Oreochromis niloticus: one gene and its partners. Each later gene encodes a partner of the first gene's protein in a complex. Links are inferred from orthologs where the notes say so. Each region holds a gene or a part of one and is shown in the gene's direction. Other genes may lie near its edges.

Region 1 (7,659 bases):
ATTTTTCATGATGGAGTTGAAGGACTGCCTGAAGTCTGGGACCTGCTTCCACAGCGGCTGCAGACTCAACAGGTCGTCGTACAAGTCAATCACTGTGACCTCAGTGCCTGGATGCACCTGAGAAGTGCAAAGAAATTGAAGTGGAAGTAAAAAATTTTCCCTTTTGATTCAAAGAAGTGGCACAGAGAGGGAAACATCAGCTGTCATAAAACTTCAGACAGGTGCTCAAATGCAGAACTCTGAAATTAAAACTGATCCTGAGGAAATGAAAATCACAAAGGAACAGAAATCGCTAACTTGAAACCATTCACTGATTTTCACTTCATTGTTTTTATCTGATATGTTATCAAGTCCAATATCATTTTAAGTATTTTATTCCTACTTGAAATACAAAATTCTGCCTTCAACCTAAAGTAGTATAGAAGCTCTTGATTTGAGTGTTGAACATTTGGTGGATTCAGGTACTTTATTAATGAATGACAGGGTTAAATAACAATAATTACAATGAAACACCTCACACATCTATAGTAACATTAAAGGACCAGTGGCTGGCAGGGTATGGAGTGACACATCAGTGTCCAATGTAGTGCTTTATGTGCAAGTATACCATCAACACTGACACAAATACAAGAAACCAGCCTTTGGATAGCTGTCCACTGCAGTGACCACTATGTGTGAAAGGGTTAACATATTATTAACATATAAGGTGAATAACGGCCCCAGAACTGATCCCTGGGGAACACCTTCAACCACATCAAGGAAGCACGAGGTGATGCCTTCGGCATTCACACACTTAGTTCTGTTGGAAAGATCATTTTTGATCCACTCACAGTTTTTGCTTTAATAGCACATGATCTACAGTGTTAAAAGCCTCAGAAAAGTCAATGAAAAAGGCTGCACAGTGTTTCTTACTGTGTAAAGCCTCAATAAAATCATTTATTACTTTTAAGGCAGCTTGAACAGACTGAACGTGTGATATAATATCATGACTAATGAGATATTCCTTCCTATTGCTCACTTACAAGAGACTCTTTGCGGGCTTTTCATTGGTCTTTACAAAGGGTCAAACAATCGAGCGCACAACTGTAATTTATATGGTTTTGGATGAATAATAACAAGCATAGAATGATTTATGTAAGCACATTATCTGCCTGCTACGGTGACAGAATACAGTCAGAACATCCCGTGCTAAAGATAACCTGCACACCAGAGAATATATTGTTTTAAAAGATTATCTAGAGACAAAATGTGATGCTGTGGATCATTCTGTTCAGCCAGGTCAGCTTAAGCATTTCGGTTTGTTTTGTTTTGACCCAATCTATCTTTTGCTGAGGATAAACAGTGGACCCTTCATTCTCTTGACTCAAAATCACCTCCAGTCAGAGCAAATCCAGTTTAAAAAGTAATCATTTCAAAGTCTTTTAAGTTGAAATGTGAGTCAAAGAAGTAAGCCTTTAAGTCTGATCACTAAGTACTAATAACTAGTACTTAGTGATCAGACTTACCCCCCTTTAGCATTGTTCTCTATCAACTACTTGGCGACTCGATCCCAGCATCCATAAGAGTGTGAGTGTGAATGTTAGTTCGTTTAAAAGCACCTGAAAATGTTTTTAGTGCTCAAACAGAACAGGAAAGCTCTGTGTGAGTACCAGTTTATTTATGGGTTTAAATGGTAAAAAATAAAATCACTGTTGTGAACTGTAATATTTGATCAAGTTGGCTTACTTAAAAAATATGCACACTTGTTGGCCCAAAGTTACTGAAAGTCAACCGAGAAAATGATACAAACTTGTTTTCACTGCGTGTGCAAATGAGGACAAGCCTCTTAAATAACACATTTTCATTATTTTATAATAAATGTCTAAACATGCTTGTACGCAGTGTTTAGTTCCGTTTGAGAGACAACGCAGGAAAACTGGTTTTAAATTTGAACAGCTACTCTGAACATGAACTTGGCCTGGAGACGTTAATCACTATGTGAGTCCGAGTCCTGCGGTCCGTTAATAGCTAAACACTTCCACCAGAAACACATCACAGAAAAACCAAAGTCTAACGTAACCGTGGACACAGCAGGACCGCATTTAGAATCTAATATCGAACATTAACAGGCCCATGAGTCTTTGTGCACGTATCATTAACAAGTTTGCACAAAAGCGCTACAAAGTAAAGACGTGACCACAAGCACAAATAATGTGAAATACACTTGGCCTACTTTTAATTCCTGTGGTAAATAAAGCGGTTCTAACGCATTTGGAGCTGTTTTCGAGCCTTGTTGTTCTACAGCTTAGAGATGTCGCACGCTGTGCGCGGTCCTACCTTCTTTATGAACCTTGAAAGGTTTTGGAACTGCTGTGGTCCATCAAAGATGCCATGCACGATGATGACTGGTTTATAGCTGTCCACGCAAACACCTTCGACCAGCAGCAGCAGCAGCAGCAGCGGGCCATGCGACCCTACGGCTACCCGTGGACACTTCATCTCCGCCCGGATACAGGTGAGAAGCAGTGCGGGGGGGCTGTGGATGATCCCGAGGACTTTGACCTGAGGTGGTGTCGTTAATACGGCCGATGAGGGACTGTGGCTCTCTTCATACTGACAACCAGCCATACATGAGCGCGCGCTGCTTCCTCTTTATACACATGTATTTTTTCCACAGGCCACATCCGCTTTTACAGAATCACACCCCTTCAACATTCAACGGTCTGAACCCCGTCGAGTGATCCCGGCTTTATGATAATTAATTTGACCCAATGAAAAAACGTTGCATTTTAATAAATGAAAGTTTTTTAAATGCATATTTTCATCTGTTAGATGAACTCACAATTGCACTTTATAAGGCAAACGTTAACATCGTTGCTGGTCATCTGTTCATGTGTTTGAAATAACTTCATGTTACAAGTGACTTGAACGTTTGTTTGTTTAAATGTGTTGTCTGTCTTAGTATTCAGTCTGTGGGTGGTGGTGATATTGTGTGTGTTAGACTGCTATTATAATAGCAGGAAGTTGGGGTGGATCAATGGCACAGTTAATATAACTTTATACTGACTTATCATGTCCCACGTGTAAAAGCCGCATGTTTTTGTCATGTTTAATTGTGATTAGAAACAAAAAGCTTTAAAATTGTTGACCAACTAAAAGCCAGAACCTAAAGATTTGTGTTTACAATAAAAGAATTGGGAAATTGAGTTCTGGTTGTGAATTATCTCTAAAAATCATAACATGGATTCAAGGAGCAGAGATTTTTGTCTGCAGAATTTCTTAGCTGCATATGCATGATGCACATCTCCTGCTCCACTGCATCCCACAGCTGCTCTGTTGGATGTAAACTGGTAAATCGTAGCCATCTAAGTACAATGAACTCATGTTATGTTCAAAATTTCAGTTTGAGATGAGCTGAGCTTTATGACAAGATGATTCTCCTGCTGGAAACAGCTGTCAGAAGATATTCAGGAAGGCTGTGGTGTTTAAACGATTTGCCTTTCTCGTGTTAAAGAGGACAGATTGTAACAAAAAATTATCACCCACACCAAAACAGCACCACCAGCAGCCTGATCTGTTCATTCAGTGCAGGATGGATCCATGCTTTCATATTGGTCCAAAGTTTGTCCGGTCTTCTGACACAGAATTTTGGTCTGGCTGTAACTTAGTTTAGTTACTTTTGAGTTTCTGTTTCCCTCCTATCAGCTCAAAGCAGACTGGCCAATCTCCTCTAAGACATTTTCATGCAGAGAGCTGCTGCTCACTGGATATTTTCTCTTTTTGGGAAAATTCTCAATAAATTCTATACACAGTTGTTGAGAAAATCCAAGCAGATCTGGCATTAACAGCCATGCCAGATTCAAAATCACTTAAATCACATTTCCCAATTCTGCATTAACAAGTAGTTGAACAGGTGCACCTAAAAAAGTGGCTGGTGAGTGAAATAAAAAATAATTATCAGCTAAAATGATCTGGTAATATAATGTAGCCTATGTGTTTTTGAAGAGTGCCACATAATAAGTAAATTTAGATGCTATGTAGATACTGATGATAAAACTTGTGCTGTTTTAAGCTATTTAAGTAATGTTATATATTTTACCTTGTGTAAAAAGTCCTTATTGTCAGTGTTTTCCATTTTGTAAAACAGTTAAATTCTAGTGCAGCACTGCTCTTCACACAAGCCAAAAGATCTTAATAAGACACAGGACAGTACTGTATGTGAGCCTATGCCTGGTGTATTCAGCGCCATTTTCTACACAGATTCTACTTCTGATAACATGTTCTACTTTCCTCTGTTTACTTTTTTGTATTATTTTTGGTCGTAGAATATATTAAATATATCTTATCTCTTATGAAAGTGGAAAGACAGGCTGACATATGAGATCAGGCAGGACTCTGCAGATGATATTGTGACCTGTATGGAGAGTATGGAGCAGGTGGAAGAATAAGAAGAGAATTATTAAGTGTAAAAGTTATTCTCCTGGTTATATGTCACGCTGTTATTTTCTGTGCTGTTTGCGGAACTGGATGTTTTGGTTTGCTTTATTGCTAGCTGGTGTTGCTGTTCTTTACATGCCCACACGGGGGCAGTGAGCGCCGGCGCCTCTGATGCAGCCCCGCTCTTCTTCCCTAGTGTAACCTGACGTATTTCCGTTTGGAAGTTTAGCGTGCGTTAAGCTAAAACAGCAAAACAGTTTACAGTGTATGAGTGTGTGTGAGGTAGTTGTAGGACAGATAAATAGTTTTTCGTGTCTACGACAGGATGCACGTGTCCGCTAAGTGTCCGAACCGGAGACTTGTGCGCTACAACTCAAGCTAACGCCTCATCTGTAGCTGGAGTTAGCAGTCGGCTAACTCTCAGCCTGCTGTTTCTGTCACAACAAGAGCGTTTGAGAAGCGGTGAGTGGACTCCAGAGACGGTTGTGTTGTGTCTCCTCTAATGCTTACACTTTGTATAATACAGGTGTAATAGTGGGTGGATAACTACACTGTAATATGAAAACTGACAGTATTGGTGCAGCGGCTTGAACAAAACACTGCGGTTTAAAACGACGCTAAATCCGGATCTGCAATTAAAGGCGAAGTTATTGGAAACTTGAACTTGTTTAGCGAAGTCTAAATGTGAGAAAATATTTTTATTTAGTAGTTTTGCAAACAAAAAAAAAAAAACAAACCACTCACTGCTCTGACTCTTTAGTTTTCACAGAGGTTATCCAATCCAGATTGTCAAAGGTTAATGCTGAAGGTCTGTAACTGGACCTGGTCTAAATGTAGGAAAGGCAGCAGGGAAATCATCCCTTTTTCCATCTTTACTGTCCTGGAGCATCCTCCAAGTTGAAGCTGACATGTTGGCTGGCTCCTTTCAGTGTGGAGGTGTAGCATCTCCACTATGACCTCTTTCATGTTCTGGGTTCTAAAGTCTCCCTCTTAAACCCAGAATTTAAAAGTCCGGATAAAGTTGCTTTTACTTTTGTTCTGGTCTGGATGTTCCAACAGTCATAGCATTGCTGCCTGTTTTTGTGTTTTCACAAAGGGATTCAATACAGCTCTACAGTTTAGTAAAGCCTTTGCTTTCTCAGAGTGATCCTGTCCATATTTGAAAATTGAGGATAAAGTAATTTCAAAGTTTTTTTTAAATTAAGTTGCAGTGATCTGAAACCTAATTTAAATCCCGCCCTGGAGTCTTTTAAACGAATCTGGTCAAAAGTAAAAATCTGTTAGCCTTTATTTAAAAAAAACAAACAAACCCAATTACGCATATGGCCAGGTGTGGTCCATATTATGATATTTGATTTATTTATGGGTTTTTATTGGATTTTAAAACACCTGTTGTCCTCGGGGGTCAAAAACGACCCCAAAATACAAAGCGTTGCGAAGGGCCATATTGTCACACCATACTGCTTGCAAACATCTTTGATTTTGGATCACTGATGTGTGGGGTCAAGCAATGGTCATAACAACAACAACAACAACAACAGGCAGCACAATGAGGAGGCAGGTGCTCTACATTCAATTCAATTCAGTTTTATTTATACAGTGCTAAATCACAACAACAGTCGCCTCAAGGTGCTTTATATTCTTGTGGAAAGGAATGGCCAGTAGAACAATGCATATCTTGTTCTCTAATATAATGAGGAGGAAGAATCAACGATCAGGAGGATCCAGGGTTAAAAGATAAAGAAAATATTGCCAATATTTAGATCACACGCTCCCCTTTCTCTGAAGAAACCCCACATCACCTACCTGCAGAAGTGAAGTGTATGAAGTGAAAGAAAAGTGATGAAGAATCTGAACTATGTTCAAGTAGGTTCTCAGGCATCCAGGACATGGTAGTGTGAGGAGCTTGGAAAGAAAGTGACTGGGCTTCTTGAAGTTTCTTGAATTTTCAGAATGTGAAACTAGAAGATGTGTCAGAGGACTACACATCTTCTATTTCAATTATGATGAAGACAAAGAATCAAGCAAGAAAGAGGAGTCAGCTGAGACATATCAATATTTGCAGTAATGTTGATCTTCTGTCCTTCCCAGTGACAGACGATGCATGACTCTCTCATGCGTCACAGAGAAAGACAATCTACCATAGTCCAAGCACATAGGGCTGCTCGATTATGGCAAAAATGATAATCTCGATTATTTGACGATATTTATTTAACAATAACAATGTATTGAATAATGGCTTTAAAGATTGTCAAAAAATAGTATAAAATAGTGTGCAAATACTGATTACAGTGCAAATGTTTGCAATATAAAAAATAAATGCAAAATGTAAACATCTATGTTTAGTGAACTTCAAAATACTGCACAATATTTGATCCAGGTCTGACTCCGCGAACCCATAATGTTTCCACACCACTGAAGTCGTTTTACCTCTCTTTTCAACCAACGGCATTCTTTCTTCAGCAGCCGTTATCCTCTCCTCTCCAAATAACTTCTGCTTAGCTTTCCGAGCTTTCCAAGCTTCCCTCGGGTCCTCTTAATTGTTGTGACGGTGTTCGAAACGCAGAGAGGTGCGCTCGATTTGCCACACGGAGCAGCGCGAGAGTAAAGCACGAGGGAGGTGCTAATAATCGGCTCAGTCATTTTTAATGATCGTTGAAAGCCCAGATCGTAATCTAGATTAAAATTCGATTAATTGAGCAGCCCTACAAGCACATATGCCAGGTCCCATACTGATGACATAAAATCCTTAGATTGCTTTTCTACTCAAGTACTGAAAGCATTATACACCATGTATTATGCTTTTTAACTTTGACATGTCAATGGATGCATCAATGACAAACAAGGAGGGGCAACAAGAGATGAAGAAAAATGGATTGAATGCAGCTGTAGGCATATGTGGGTATGTTGATTCTTACTGCCGTGCATCCAGTAAAGTCACTACGGCCAGTTTGTGACATCCTGAGTCTTTTAGGGCAGTTTTCATGCTACAGTGACTGAAACAAGAATAATCATAGAATCTCAAAAGTGATATCATTTCATGATAAAGACACAATAGAAGATCGTTGTTCATGACAGAAACGTGCTCCCATTTGAGGTGTATGGAACAAGTGGGTGTTTCTCCTGCTGTTGATGTACGATCCAGGTACTGATGTGACTGTATGAGCACCTAGTCCCCTTCAGAGGACTCTGTCCAGTCCAACAGAACATCCCAAGTAAACCCGGGAAGTATGAGATAAAACC
Region 2 (8,078 bases), on another chromosome or scaffold:
TGATTCAAAACAAGGAGGCTTTCTTCAGTCAAGACCCCACGTGAAAGACCAACCTGCAGCCAGCGGATCATCGGGCGAATTGCATCGATTTCTTCATGTTGCTCCAGTAAAAGAAGCAGCTGAGGGATTGGTACCCCTACAACAATAAATAAAGAAATAATTTATTGTTATCATTCATATGATGCCAAAACTGTCCACAAATTCCAATTTGTGCAACTACACAGGGAACATACAAACAGACATATATTAAAATTATTATAGTGTAATTGCTCCTTCAATTTAAAAAAAGGCTTTAGTCGATGAGCAGCAGCTAATAAATGTCACTATTTCAATGTTTTCCTCAGCCCTCACTGTAGTAATGCACTATTAAACTAATTAATTAGGATTGTTATAATTATATATAATATGTAATGCAAAGTCTAAATAATCCACTTTGCAAAGCAACTCTTTGCAAAGTGGATTAAAAGAGAAATATGTGTATTCCCAGTGAACCAGGAAATACACTGTACCACACGGAGGTTTTCAGGGGTCACAGACCAGACTCTGGGCTTGTGTGACTGAGGCCTTAAAACTTTGGAAATTGTTATGTGTAATAACAAACTGTCAGATAATCCATCTGAAAACTGAAAAGAGAAATCACGCTCTTACTTCGAATGGGGTCGTTATGCTGTCCGTCTCCACTCTCCATTTGATCCATGAAAACAGTCTGGAGGAAACTACAGTTGTCAAACTTTTAAGCTGACTGGTTTAAAACTTTCAGACTGTCCAAAGTCCTTTAAAATTGTTTGAAAACTTTTTAACAAGCTTTTTAAAAACACGATGTAAATGTAGAGTAAGCCAAGTGAATGCTGCGAGGAACGCTGCGAAGTGTTAACTGATATTTCTCCACCAATTACATCCAAATATAATGATGCAGAGATGAACGTCATAGGTTTACTTGCTACTTTTGCGTTCTGACTCTCCTGTGACGTCATCGAATGACGCCGCTGAACGTCCTGCAGGTAAACAAAACTGTCAGTGGTGACTACGGAACTTTTACAGGTGAAGCATTTTCCACAAAGCTTTGAAGGAATTACAGTGACAGATAGAGGCCACAAGATGGCGCCATTTTTCAGGTAGTGGATACCATTTGTTGGCTTTTTGGTTTATGTTCACACCACCCCATGAGTGTTTTGCATAAAGTTTAAAGTATTCCTCGGGTTCGTGATTTTTTCCCCTTTCTTGCTGTATTAAAATAAATTAATTCAAGTAAACTAGAGTGAGTCTTCCATCAGTAATTAATTATTGAAAACACTTTTCTACCTGAAGTGTATTTTTGCTGCTTTACATGTTTGCTGAACTGCTCCATGGCTTAAAAACCTTTTGATTAGTTAGACGCAGACTCTGTTGTTCATATAAAATCTATACTTTATATTTTCCATTTGGCTTTCCTGGATTGAAAAGTTTGAAAATAAAAGCATTCAACAGTCTGAGTGTCAAAATGTGCTGTGTAATGTATTTATACATATTTTGATGGTAGGAAAACAGGATAAAATGACTGTGTTTGGGCCTTGAGGTTAAATTTAATCTAAAAATGAACTTGTAGAAGTCGGAAAAAGATACAAGCTTGAGTGCAATACTCTGGTAGAGCTTCGTAAAGGGGGTATTTACACCCAACATCTTGGATGGTATCTACAGAATATATTTTAGTATATCTTTTGGGAACTTGGTTTTGTCTTGGAATAAGTAGTTGATCATAGATATCAATGACATACAGTTGTTGCAAAATGAAACACTCTCTGAACCTGCAGTTTGGTTCTTCCAAAAATGTAACAAAATAAAACAAGGACACAACCCTATTTAACACAGTGACCAACACAGCACTTGGTCACACACTGGCTGAGTTGCAGTGTGTGGCCAACCTGGTGACCAGCATGAGGTTGAAATGCCAGGCTGTTGTGGCTGCGTATTGTTCTTCCACATGTTAGTGACGCCCCTATTTGTTAAAAGAATAAAATATTAAATTGTGGATGTGGCTTGTTTTTTCAGAATTCAATAAATGACACCCAACAAGTGTCAATAGCAAAATAAACTGTTTGCTATTGGCAAATTTTTCATGGCCGCAACCAATGTTCCCTCTAAGCTGCGCACGTGCGCAATTGCGCACTGTTGGCACGGTCTCTGCGCAGAGAAAATCTGCGTTGCGCACACAAAAAAAATTCTAACCTGAATTGAAATTAAAGTAAATATGTGCCGACACCGGTGTTTTAGCTAGCAAAGCGTGGCTGATGTGGAGTTAAGCCACGTTAATGACAACGTGTACAACCATTGGAGATGTGAGCAGGACAGACGGAACAATTGACGGAAAAAGTGTGGACTTTATACCAGTTTTTAAATTGTGTTGATAGGCCACGTAAAACCAGAGTTATGATAAAAAAAAAAAAAAATGCAATGTTTGGTTTTCTTCCTGAATACTATCGTTGTTTATATTTACTGCGGGAAGAAACGGTAAAAACGGCGTTTTCTAAGGAAAACGCTCGAAAGCACTCTCCGCCTGTGAGCAAAGACGAAACCAAAACACCCCACACCCTTTCCCATTGGTCGCAAAATGTACCATGTCGACCAATCAAAACATGGCATTTAGTTGTTAAGAAACGGGGGGAAGTTTTAGGAGTGACGGCGGTGTTTTGAGATGTGAGAGATTTGAGACGTTTAGCGCAAATCTTGTGTAGTTAGTGTGTAGTTAGTGTGTAGTGTAGTCAATAGTTTTGTTGTGTGTGTCAGAACAATGAGGCGACTGCTGAATGTTACAGGTGTTACAGGAGTGATACATCTCCTGTTGTCAGGCCTGCAGGTATCAGGCTGTTTTTCTCCTTTATCTGATAGTGGACAGAAATTAATTTTTGGAGTGGCACAAATAATTTGTGTGGCATCAGATTTGATACAGAACACCTGATTGTTCTATAAGTATTTTGAAATGTTTGTTTTAAAAACCGCCTTGGCAGCATTTTTAGGTAAACAGCTGCAAAAAAACTTGTTTGCAAAACTCAGTTGCTTTTTTGAAGAAGTAACTATATAATTATTTGCCCAACATTGGTCATTATATACTGTATTTTGCAGACAGGACTCTCTCACGGACCACAGACTCATAATACAAGTCAGAGTTTTTTTTTTTTTTTTTTAAAAAGAAAGAAAGAAAGAAAGTTGTGTTTTCAAAATTGGAGTTCAAGTTATTTTTACTTCCAATAGTGTTAATATACTACACAGGTCATGAACAAGATTTTTTTTTTTTAAACTTTCATTGTAACTGGTCTAAAGCAGTTAATTAAAAGTAGTCTAACAGAAATGTAAATGCTGTAATTTTATTTTTATTTTTTTTATTTTAATTTTAATAAACCATGTAACTTGGATGGATTCAATGCTGGCGTGACCACAGTGCACACATCTAATGTCGCTCACAGTGATCCAAGGGATCGCTCAGGGAGTTTGTGTGTTCGCTCAGACACATGAAAAATTAGAGGGAACATTGGCCACAACCCACATACTCAACTCTCGTGCTCAACCCACATTTTCCTTACAAATTTGACACCACCAGTGTTTGGAAAAATGTACTTCTAAAAGTACTTTTATTGCACCGTGTTCATTCACTCATGAGTTGCTGTAACATGAATAAACAGTACCCTTGCACAATGACCAAAACTAACTGTTCTGGATGTGGTGTTTAGAGTTGCCTACCAGCGGGTTGAGGATCGAAGCCAGAAGCTTTAAGGTGTTATAGGTGACCGAGTTGATTATACAGACAATTGGTCCTAAAGGTACACCATATAGACTGTCCCTGGGTATAGCCTGTGGTATGAGGTCCGGTCAATAGCATTGGCTTTTTCTAACTGCTTCAGACAATCTATCACCCTCTTCCTGTTACCACTTCCTGGGCTTGTTTCAGGGGCTCATAAGTATTTCTGTCACTGAGCAGTGACAGTCATAAATGGTTAATGATCAAGAAACTACATCACAGCCCACTGTTTGCCAGTGATGCTAGTTTTAGTAATTCTGCAAAGGTACGGTTTTTAAGATTGGGGAAACCTGCAGTCAGTTGAGACTGAAGAAGTCACTTGGATGAGTGATGAAATGTTTCTAACACTGAAAACGTTACATCCAAATGAAGAGAATCCACTTTTTGGGATTCCATTACCTGGATGACTGAGCATGCATCAAGACAAAAGATCAGCAGCTTAGTAACTTAATCTATAATCTATAATGCTGCACTGTGTGTTTATCACTCTCATGACAGAGGTATTTGTAAGAGGTATTGTCTTTTATGTTGAGGCCATGGCATGACTCTGGCATGTTGTTTTTCATGATGAGTGACAGTGTATCTGATGTCCTTGTGTTGGTGTTGCATCTGTATAATAATGCTGGTAACAATAACAATAACAATAACAATAACAATAACAAGAAAAAAAACAGAATATAGAAGAAGGATATAGAAGAATATAGAAGAAGGTATAGAAAAGTAGGTATAAATACTTTAGCAGCAAAAGGGCATGATGACCAGCATTGATAATGTGACGGTGTCAGTAAGTGTCAGTAAACCTGGACCAATATTATTTTGATGACGTAGAAACAATGCCAACACATGACTGACAATTTTTTGGTGATAGTTTAACTTCCTCTTACTGATATCAATTAAAACTATTGGTGTTCTCTTATTTCATTCTCACTTTTGCACCTCAGCAAAAAATGTGGTTTATCACAGTTAACCCAATTTCAGTAAATTAATTAATGATTTAACAACAGGGCAATTACTGTTTTACACAGGGACAGGTAAGTTTGAACAGGTTTATTTCCCCCTTCACATAAATACTTTCACAGCACTGCACCTGGAGTGAAATTGGAGTTAACAATGGTAAATTCCTCAAAACCCTTTCATGATTTATTTGTATTAATTTATTTGTATTATTTTATTTGCTAACTATAGTTTACACTTTACAATTTAGGCATGCTTGCTTGCCTGCCTGCCTCAATCTCAGCCTACCCCTTGCATCCGCTATCCGAACTGGCATTCTTGAACCTCAGCGCCACCCGTAGTTTCCGACAACATAATGATGGCTGCTTCCACAGGCAGTAAGAACGGACAGGAACTCTCTAAGGCTGAGTACCTAAAACGTTATTTATCAGCCGACGATGATTCCCTGAAATCTAAAGGAAAGGCAAAAAAGAAGCGTCGCAAGGTTCCCGAGAAGGGGTGAGCCGCTGGCGACGTTTTAGTCGATTTTTGCTGCAGATTTAGCTGTGGAGCCGTTAAGCTAGTTAACGACTCTGGTGTTGTGCAGCGCTGTTTTCCTCACTGCCTAATGTAATAACTTACTCGTGTTTACTTCTTTGATTCAAGACTTAAAATAGTGGACGATGACATAGATTGGAAACAGATGGTCACACAGCAGACGGAGATTGAGGAAGAGGATGAAGAAGAAGCTCCAGTGGTAAGATGACGTTAGCTAGCTACCTGGCTAACCTGTCCATTCATTCAGTTGAAATGATTACGGATTAAACATATGCTATATGCGCTCCTGTATAGGAGGGTTTCTTTTAAACAATAAACATGCGCCTGATGATTTGGGACACTACTTAATGCTGAAATTTAATCTATTGTATTAAATGGGTATGCTTGTAGTTTGGATCATTTTTGTTATGTCACCAAGTTCTGTTTTAAAACTTAATCTTTTGTTAACTGTTCAGATTGCTGAGGTGATTGATGATCGACCCGAGGAAGTGAAACAGATGGAAGTTTTTAGGACCAGCAACAGATGGAAAGTAATTGGAGGTAAATAAGAAGTCACAGAAGTAGGGGGGATTTGTGCAATATTAAGTTAAGAATGTTGTTTACTATACTTTTACTTCCTCTCCTAAAAGTGGATCAAAATGACGACACAGAGGAAGGAAATGGAAAAGAACATCAAAATACAGAGGCTGGGTCATTAAGCAGAGGTCGACATGACTCACCAGAGTTGTCTTCAAAGAGAAGAGGACGGGATTCTCCTGTCAAAAAGACCCGGCATGACTCTCCAGATGTCTCGCCTCCAAGGAGACGTCGGCATGACTCTCCAGACATCTCTCCTCCAAGGAAAAGTCGGAAGGACTCTCCGGATGTCTCTCCTCCAAGGAGACATCGGCATGACTCTCCAGACATCTCTCCTCCAAGGAGACGTCGGCATGACTCTCCAGACATCTCTCCTCCAAGGAAAAGTCGGAAGGACTCTCCGGATGTCTCTCCTCCCAGGAGAAGACGTCACGACTCTCCGGATGTCTCTCTTCCCAGGAGAAGACGTCATGACTCTCCAGATGTCTCTCCTCCCAGGAGAAGACGTCACGACTCTCCGGATGTCTCTCCTCCCAGGAGAAGACGTCATGACTCCCCAGACTTGTCACCACCGAGACAATGTTCAGAAAAGTCAGAAAAATTGCAAAGTAAAGGTGAGTGATCCAATTAAATTGTAAATTGGAATCTGGTGTGGCATATGAATAAAAGTAAAAAGCAAAGGCCCATTTAACATGAGTTTTGTATGGAAATTTCTTTTTAAGGCATACCTTGATCTAATAATAAATCTTTAATTTTTGTTCAAAAGTCATTACAAAATGAAAATTAACAAATTAACTGTGTCTTTGTCAGATTCAGCCTCCAGCAAAAGCAAGCTCAGCTCATCCTTGTTAAGTAAAAAACGCTCACCGGATCCTCATCGGTCAGCGGTGGCTAAGAAGGGTCAGAATAGACATGATTCAGACTCGGATCCGTCTCCCCCGAGGAAAAGGCCCCTAAAGGGAAATGCCTCTGACTCCGACCAATCTCCTCCAAGAAGGCCCTCAAAAACTAAACGGGGCTCAGACTCTGACCAGTCTCCACCCAGGGTGCGGCCACCGAGTGGAAGGGACTCGGATGGAGATTTGTCACCTCCTCGTAGGCCAGGCCAGTCACAGGTAAGCAGACTGTGTTGGAACAAAGAGTAATGTAAAATCTGATTTCGCTCAGATTTCTTTCTTTTTTTTCATTGTCTTTTTATTTTATAACCAGGGCCAAAGGATGCTATCTGGTGGAAAGGCAGGCCTGGTTTCTGTGGACATTTTAAGGAAAGAGCAAGAGGAGAACAGACGTAGAGAGAAACACAATCAGCCACTTGAAGGTTTCCTCAACTTTTCTCTCTTAAGATTTTTTTACACCCATTGATGGAAGAGTTTCATACAGCTTTGCGTCTCATTTCAGCTTATCATTTATATTGTCGTATTTTATTTAGTTCTAAAATTAAATAATGTCGTTTCTACATACTTACCCATTCATCCCCTATGACCAGATGAATCACGTAATGCTCAGACGATTTTCAGAGACAAAAGTGGCAAAAGGAGGGATCTGGATTCAGAGAGAGATGAACAGAAGAAGAAAGCTGGAGAAAAAGCGGCAAGAGACGAGAAATACGCTCAGTGGGGAAAAGGGTAAATGTGCATGATCATTTCAAATATCACAGTTTATGAGATTGTATCCACATAAAAGATTATAAAAGCATCATGTGGTTCAATGGTTTATGTTAAAATGTATGTATAGGTTGGCACAGAGCCAGATGCATCAGCAGAAACTTGAGGACGCGCTGCACGAAGCCCAGAAGCCACTGGCACGTCACCGTGACGATGAGGATCTTGACCGCATGTTGAGAGAACAGGAAAGAGAAGGCGATCCTATGGCTGCAATGCTCAGGCGTAAAAAGGACCGTGGCACAAAAACACAAGGTGTTTAACATTACATATGTTTTATTTTATTTCACCAGGTCAATCCTTGTAAGAAGTTTTTAAATAACAGCAGTCTTGTTTTTGCTACTGTTTGTATTTTTATTTATTTGTATGTTTTGTTTTGATTTTTTGTAGATAAACCTCAATATAAAGGCCCTGCTCCACCTCCAAACCGGTTCAATATTCCACCGGGGTACCGCTGGGACGGAGTTGACAGGTAGAGTTTGTACATCAGTGACAGAGGAAAACTGTTGAGGACAGATTTGTAGTTTAATATTGAATGTTTTTAATACACACATCACTTTGTCATTTTGCAATTGTGA
Region 3 (7,857 bases), on another chromosome or scaffold:
GTGCTGGGGAATTTAAACTTCCCTCAAATATGTTAAACATAAGGTAACAGGCCTGCTTTGAAAATGAAAGGAGTAAAAAGTACAGATATCCATGTTAAAATTTAAGGAGTAAAAGTTATAAGTTATCAGAAAAATAAAAACTCAAAGTGTAGGTACCTGAAAATTCTACTTAAGTACAGTAACTAAGTATTTGTATTTCGTTACTTCCCACCTCTGATGTCCAAGGGTTCTTGACTTCAAGTAGTCATTGACTGCAAAGGATTCCTAAACATAACATCATCTAAAATGATGTTAGTCTGTTTAATTTGAGACTGAAAATGGGTGCTGTGTATAAAAATTGATGTACTTCCTAGGGATGTTAACCTACTATTGATCATGTGAGTTGTCACATGAGCAAAGGTGTGAAAACATGAGTCATTCCCATCACCTGGCCGACAACTGAAACCTCTGTGAGACCTTGCCCCACCCCACCATCATGTGAGCTGTATGTCACTTAAATGTGAAGAGACTTAAACAGTGGATGCTGCAAGCCAGTCCACAAATGCAACACGGGAGGACAAGACTCAGTGGCACACCTGCAATACCTAAGAAAGGACACGCTTCCCAGGATGCCAGTGTTCACATTTTGGACAAAGACAATTGGTTTAAGAGAACAGTAAATGAGGCCATGTATGTCCACTATGATCGACCATCTTTGTGGGTTATGACTTCTCCAAGGGAACAGCCCTCCCTAGTGGTGCATGTCACCTGGGACTCTGCACCAGTTGTTCTATGAATGACAAAGCCTCTTGGATGATAAGTGAAACATCCTGAAAATATCTAAAGAAGTCAAATTGCCTTCTTTTTAAGCTCTCAATATTACTGGCCAGTAAGAAGTATTACTCACAGATCATCAGGTTTCTGCACACTTTGTGAAACACCCTTTTTCCACCTTATTCTTCAATGGTCAAGTCAGTCACCTGATCTCAGCCCAGCAGAGTGTGCTATTTAGTTATTAAATACAAAACTAAATGCATAAAGACCCACAAATAAGAAACAATTGGAGGAGACTCCAGTAAAGGCTGAGCAGAGCTTCTCAAAGGAGGAAACACAGCATATGGTGATATTGAGAGGATTTACTTAAGTAGAAGTACAAATAGTTTTGTTTAAAAAGTACTGATTCAACTTCTAGTAAAGTAAAAGAAAATCAATAAAATCTTTTTACAATAAATTGTTTTTACTTTAAATACCCATTTATTGAATACTATATATCATCTTCTTTCTGATATAAAATAGGTTTCTTTTCCTCCCTAACTGCTCTGTCACAAAACGAAGCTGCGATGGCCGGGAATCGAACCCGGGTCAACTGCTTGGAAGGCAGCTATGCTTACCACTATACCACCATCGCTATAAGCACATCTGGAATCGAGCTTCTGTTGTGTCGCCAGTTTATATGGTTGTATAAAAACAGCAGGAAGAAAAGAAGCATTAGGGCTGCTCAGTTAATCGAATTTTAATCTCGATTACGATCTGGGTTTTCAACGATCATTAAAAATGACTGAGCCGATTATTAGCACCTCCCTCGTGCTTTACTCTCGCGCTGCTCCGTGTGGCAAATCGAGCGCACCTCTCTGCGTTTCGAACACGCGTCACAACAATTAAGAGGACCCGAGGGAAGCTCGGAAAGCTAAGCAGAAGTTATTTGGAGAGGAGAGGATAATGGCTGCTGAAGAAAGAATGCCGTTGGTTGAAAAGAGAGGTAAAACGACTCCAGTGGTGTGGAAACCAATGTTCCCTCTAAGCTGCGCACGTGCGCAATTGCGCACTGCTGGCACGGTCTCTGCGCACAGAAAATCTGCGTTGCGCACAAAAAAAATCTAACCTGAATTGAAATTAAAATTAAAACTTTAACAATTCTGTTTTGCAGTGTTAGTCAGTAAGTGACTGGCTGCTCCTGTATGGGATTAGAACGATGCCACCTTATCCTATAGTCCAGCCAATAATGCGATTCACATTCGTATATACGCAGCCAATCAACGTTGTTGACAGGCTATGACAGCGTCCTTATGTGCCGACACCGGTGTTTTAGCTAGCAAAGCGGCGTGGCTGATGTGCAGAGAAGCCACATTAATGACAACGTGTACAACCATTGGAGATGTGAGCAGGACAGACGGAACAATTGACGGACTTTATACCAGTTTTTAAATTGTGTTGATAGGCCACGTAAAACCAGAGTTATGATAAAAATATCTGCAATGTTTGGTTTTCTTCCTGAATACTATCGTTGTTTATATTTACTGCGGGAAGAAATGGTAAAAACGGCGTTTTATAAGGAAAACGCTCGAAAGCACTCTCCGCCTGTGAGCAAAAACAAAACCAAAAAACCCCCCACCCTTTCCTATTGGTCAAAAAATGTACCATGTCGACCAATCAAAAAATGATTTGCCAACGTGGCATCTAGTTGTTAAGAAACGGGGGGAGTTTTAGGAGTGACGGCGGTGTTCTGAGATGTGAGAGATTTGAGACGTTTAGCGCAAATCTTGTGTAGTTAGTGTGTAGTCAGTGTGTAGTGTAGTCAATAGTTTTGTTGTGTGTGTCAGAACAATGAGGCGACTGCTGAATGTTACAGGTGTTACAGCAGTGATACAGCTCCTGTTGTCAGGCCTGCAGGTATCAGGCTGTTGTTCTCCTTTATCTCATATTGGACAGAAATTATTTTTTGGAGTGGCGCAAATAATTTGTGTGGCATCAGATTTGATGCAGAACAGCTGATTGTTCTGTAAATAGTTTGAAATGTTTATTTAAAAAAACGCCTTGGCTGCATTAAAAAAAATAAATAGCTGCAAAAAACTTTGTTGTTTGCCAAACCGAGTTACTTTTTTGAAGTAGTAACTATATAATTAATTGCCCAACATTGGTCATTATATACTGTATTTTGCAGACAGAGAGTTATAGGACTCTCTCCCAGACCACAGACTCATAATACAAGTCAGAGCTTTATGAAAAAAAAGAAAAGAAAGAAAGTTGTGTTTTCAAAATTGGAGTTCAAGTTATTTTTACTTCCAATAGTGTTAACATACTACACAGGTCATGAACAAGATTTTTTAAATTTTCATTGTAAGTGGGCTAAAGCAGTTAATTAAAAGTAGTCTAACATAAATGTAAATGCTGTAATTTGATTATTTTAATAAACCATGTAACTTGGATGGATTAGATGCTGGCGTGACCACAGTGCACACGTCTGATGTCTCACAGTGGTCCAAGGCAGCGGTCCCCAACCTTTTTTGCGCCACGGACCGGTTTATGCCCGACAATATTTTCACGGACCGGCCTTTAAGGTGTCGCGGATAAATACAACAAAATTTAAAATTTCCAGTTTATCAAATACCCCTGAGCAGTACTTGCCTTTTGGTATTCTTCCTGTCCTCTCTTCCTTACATTGTTCTCCATCTCTGAGTGAACTTAACTCTTATTCTTTTCTCTTTTCTCCCAGTTTTACCATTAGCAAGTGTGTGTTTGTGTGTTGAGCTTTTAGAAATTTTGCGTTTGAACTGACCTGCCGCAACACGTTCTTCCTTTTATGCTCCTCTTTAGTAGTGCTAGCTAGATGCTGAAGTACCGTGAAGACTACGTCATTGTCGGGGGCCTTTTAAACCCGAGCACACTGCTATAAATAACGCAGAAACTATATGTTTTTGCCTCTTTCATCTCTGTATGCAATGGAGTGATGGATACACCAACAGGGTTGTATTTTATGTGTTATTAATCCCTCCGTTTAGGCTCAAATCGTTTTGATGTCTGAAGGCCTGCAGTGCTGGGGAATATAAACTTCCTTCAAATATTTTAAAAATAAGCTAATGGGATTGTACGGAAGAGGATTAGGGCCACTGGGAAAAAAAGTGCGCAGGTCTTTTTTTTTTTTCTTCTTTTCCAGAATTCTAAGAAAAAAGTCAACTGTTTACAGTTGTCTTGTTTTCAAGCTCTCAGTATAACTGGCCAGTGCTTTTCCTACCTTTAAACCTACACACACAAAAAAAGAAGTATTACTAATGGAAATGGGGCTTACTCACAGAACTTCACATTACTACACACTTGGTATTATGATATAGTAAACCATATGACAACATTATTTTTCCTGAATGTTCTTCCATAACTGTTCTAAAAAACTAAACAGTGATTTAATGTGTCCTCCCATACAGCTGAAAGTCTTTCTGTGCCTCTCTATGTTCAAAGATTTAACAAATAAGGTATTCATGTAAAAACAAATTTAAAAAAAAAAAAAAGTGTTTTTAAAATATAAAGTCAAACCTTTGGGTTGATTAGTCAAATAAATTTTGTGTATGGTATCTGGAAATTTTGAAAATTCCCACTTGCTCAGCATCCCAAAACTTCAAGGCACTCAGAAGTAAGTAAAAACTTCAGGATGCTAAGTGAAAATTTTCACATATGCAACTCTAAACTTTGAGTGATTAAGTAAATAAACTAAGATTTATTTATTTATTTAGATATTTAGATTTATTTAGATAAATAAAGCTTTGTTTTGAAGCTCAATATTCCCTTTTAAACCACAACTGAGGACCTTGAAAATAAAAAAAACCCAGAATGAAACAATAAATGAACAAATTTCATGTGTACACAAGGCCCTGTGTGTTTGTTTTACTTTATTTTATACACTTTTTTTCTTGTGTTACAACTTTATTTATAAATATTAAATTCTGAAATAAAGTTAAACTGGAAAAGAAAAAATAACAACAAAAACAGTAAACCAAACTTCACAAACTGCGTTTATTGTGAAATCCGGAAGCGATCTGTCACCCGGAAGTAATGTTGGTTATTATAGGAAGTTTTCCGCCAGACGAACGACAGTGATTTAAGGAAAGCCGGGAAATTGTATGGTAAGGACATTAAAACCCAAACAAAGCAATTTAGCTCGACAGACCTTCTGTCAAAGTACGAAGGAAATAAAATCTTAAAGGTTTTAGTGACAGCAATTAGTAGCGAGAAGCTTAGATCGCAATAGCCGAGACAGCATTAGCACACAAGCTAACTTTAGCTCAGCTTAACACACATGGCGATAAAACTGAGGAGTTGATTTGAAAAGACGTTTTAGTAACGCGTGGTGTTGCTGTTTCAAGAACCTTCCCAAAATATGTTTATTCGGCTATTAAGACGTACAAACTTGATCATTTGGTAATATTTACCTCAGGAAATGCCCAGTTACCATATTGTTACCTCTTCCGTCCGTTGGCAATGATAATTTTTGACTCTGTTCGGCGATTAAACATTACCAGGAAGTCATCATCCCTCTTATTTTATCGTTAATCACTCACAAAACGCTTAATAAACAGTAAGTGTATCCTTTGCTCTGCATTGAGTATTGGTGATTTAATGTAAAGTTTATCCGGAGCAGACTAATGTCAAATCAACAAGTCTGTAAACAGTCCTTCGTAGAAATACGTGGATCGTGTCAGAGAACCATGTCAGAAAGTTATTAAATCTTATTAACTCATTTACATGTTTTTTTTTTTTCTTTTTTCCTAATGTAACGGGGTTTGTGGAAATGCATTTTACCTATCAAAGTGAATGTCTTAGTTGTCTTCCCCCCCCCCCCTTCCAGGTATGGACTCTGCAGACAGAAGTCGAAGTCCCAGTCCTGCACAGAGAGAAAACAGTGGTGAGTAAATGCTGCTGTGAACCCTACACTTAATGTTCTTGTAATAAGAGTTGCTTTAATCTCCATCCGTTATACTTGAGCAATACGATGTTGCAATCGTTAGCTGTCACCTCACAGCAAGAAGGTTCTGGGTTTGAGTCCAGCAGCCGGGTCTTTCTGCATATTTTCTTTGTACCCCTTGCTGGGAACTCTGGTGTGCTTTCACCTGTTAGTCCTGATTTAGATTTCTGCGGTGAATCTTTGTAGAGCTAACGACATAATTTACGTGTTGTGTTTGTGCTGGTGCATTATGTCTAAATTAATGTGTGGGTCTGTGTACATGTTTTTCATTCAGTACCAGTTGATAGAAACAAATAAAATGCACGGACCTTTTCCCTCCAGTTTTGTAGTGGTCAGTTTTTTTTAAAGGCAAATATATTTGTCTCAAGTTTTTCATCTTCTTTGTACATTCCCACACGTCCATTTTAATAGTTTTGGCAGTTTCTCCTCAGGAATTTGCTGACATTTGTGAGTCCTTATATTGATGCTATAATTATTATCTGTTATGTTGAGATGATGATTGTTATTCTCTCACTGATAAATTCAAAAACTGCTGTGAAAAAGTAGCCTGAAATGCATGAGAAGAATCTATTGGTGCAACATGTAATTAGGTTGCACTGTAGGGTGCACGGTATGAATGGTAACAGAAACAGCGTTTTTGTGGTTAGCTGGTGTCCATTTTATTTGTTTAGTTGTTTGACTGTCCTTCACCTACGTGGCCACCAGGCATATGGGTTAACAAGTTTCGCAAAGTTTGCGGTTATGGCGTAGCTATTGAATAGTCATAGTCCAAAGCATAAGTCTCCGGTTAGCCCTGTGAGAGACTGGTGACCTGTTCGATGTCTACCCTGCCTTCTGCCCCACAGTATCCCTAAATTGAGTAAGTGGAAGAAGAAGGATATGTTGAATGGATATACTAATACTGCTCTTGATCTATTTTTCTCTCTGCAGGACCTTCAGAGAATGACTCTAGTCCAGCATCAGGCAGACCCCAGCAGGCTGGCTCAGTTGAAAGAAGCCCCAATGAGCGACGGTCCCCACAGCCAAGTCCTGTGGGCCGCAGGCCCTCCAGGAGCCCATCCTCAAGCAGTTCAGACAGCACCAGCAGCAGTGATGAGGATGAACATCATTCAGCACTGAGAAAGATTCGAAGCAGCGTGGCTCAGATCAAAGTAAGAAATGTGGCTTTTACTAGTCTGTCACATTTCATAATGTACAGACTACTGCGGTAGAAATGGAAGAATCAGATGCTTTCAGACAGTTACAGAGGGTGAAACATATGCTGAAAGCCTTTTTTTATATTTATAAATATATATATTGTATATTATAATTCCTCATCAATCAAAAATGTTGAGTTTGGAGTGAGAAATGCCATTAATAGTAGGTGGAGTAAGTAAGTTGATTTCCCCAATATATACCGAACAATAGTTGAGATTCACAGTATTAATAAAAATGATCCGGCCAAAACAAGAAATTCAGAAACACCAAAATCTTAAAAAGTTAATGCAGTCAGATGCATTGGTAACTGGAGTTTAGTGATCCATGTTATGTTTTAGATACTGTCCAAAGAAGAGTTCAGGAACTGACAGTATTCATTCAGTTGATGTATTTTTGTGTGGAAATGTGAACTGAAGCATTTTGTTACTATTCTTGCCTAAAAATGATCTTGAATGTCAGAATAGTTTTGAATAAAGTACCTGAAGAAGAAGCGTATTTACTTAGTGTTTTTTCATGTTGTGCTTTTAAGACATGATTATGTTGCATTTGAAAATGTGGCTGTGCATTAGTGTGCACATTGCACAGTAGATTATTCAGGCTGCAGTTCTGGACAGCTGGTGTGAAAAACTGCTTGGTCTGAAGAGATGGTTACCATGAGAACAGGACCCAGTTTAAGCTTGAGGCACCGATGTAAGACACAGTAGCATGTTTAATGTCAGCTGGCCTGATTTATGAGTGCACCCAGTGAAGAAGACACTGAATAAAGATTTAACTTGTTGACTGACAGAATCACAAATCAAAGAGGACTTTGTTTCCATTACTGTCAACTTAGACACGAGCTCCCCAGGTGCATACAGGCTTTTACTTGATGCAGGACCTGAGGCAGACCGACTTCATATTGCTGGGTTGTCTCTCTTTTTCAGTTGAACTCAAACTTTTAAAAATGA

Evidence for each region.
Region 2: dhx16 (region 1) and bud13 share a complex: the UniProt entries of both Homo sapiens proteins name them as parts of the minor spliceosome. The link is inferred for Oreochromis niloticus from reciprocal best matches to the Homo sapiens genes DHX16 and BUD13.
Region 3: dhx16 (region 1) and cwc22 share a complex: the UniProt entries of both Homo sapiens proteins name them as parts of the minor spliceosome. The link is inferred for Oreochromis niloticus from reciprocal best matches to the Homo sapiens genes DHX16 and CWC22.

What each region holds. Positions count from the first base shown.
Region 1 is NC_031976.2:36,413,809-36,421,467, reverse strand, and holds the start of dhx16 (pre-mRNA-splicing factor ATP-dependent RNA helicase DHX16), read left to right. Parts: upstream 1-4,601; 5' UTR 4,602-4,878; intron 4,879-7,659. Other genes in the region: lysosomal thioesterase PPT2, read right to left, coding at 1-117, 2,317-2,607. UniProt on the Homo sapiens protein: Required for pre-mRNA splicing as a component of the spliceosome. Contributes to pre-mRNA splicing after spliceosome formation and prior to the first transesterification reaction.
Region 2 is NC_031975.2:13,772,295-13,780,372, forward strand, and holds the start of bud13 (BUD13 homolog), read left to right. Parts: upstream 1-5,041; 5' UTR 5,042-5,081; coding exon 5,082-5,224; intron 5,225-5,371; coding exon 5,372-5,462; intron 5,463-5,718; coding exon 5,719-5,803; intron 5,804-5,892; coding exon 5,893-6,453; intron 6,454-6,649; coding exon 6,650-6,954; intron 6,955-7,048; coding exon 7,049-7,157; intron 7,158-7,325; coding exon 7,326-7,464; intron 7,465-7,573; coding exon 7,574-7,755; intron 7,756-7,890; coding exon 7,891-7,972; intron 7,973-8,078. Other genes in the region: ribosomal L1 domain-containing protein CG13096, read right to left, coding at 1-136, 649-697. UniProt on the Homo sapiens protein: Involved in pre-mRNA splicing as component of the activated spliceosome. As a component of the minor spliceosome, involved in the splicing of U12-type introns in pre-mRNAs.
Region 3 is NC_031987.2:24,052,975-24,060,831, forward strand, and holds the start of cwc22 (pre-mRNA-splicing factor CWC22 homolog), read left to right. Parts: upstream 1-4,780; 5' UTR 4,781-4,874; intron 4,875-5,596; 5' UTR 5,597-5,598; coding exon 5,599-5,653; intron 5,654-6,643; coding exon 6,644-6,864; intron 6,865-7,857. UniProt on the Homo sapiens protein: Required for pre-mRNA splicing as component of the spliceosome. As a component of the minor spliceosome, involved in the splicing of U12-type introns in pre-mRNAs. Promotes exon-junction complex (EJC) assembly.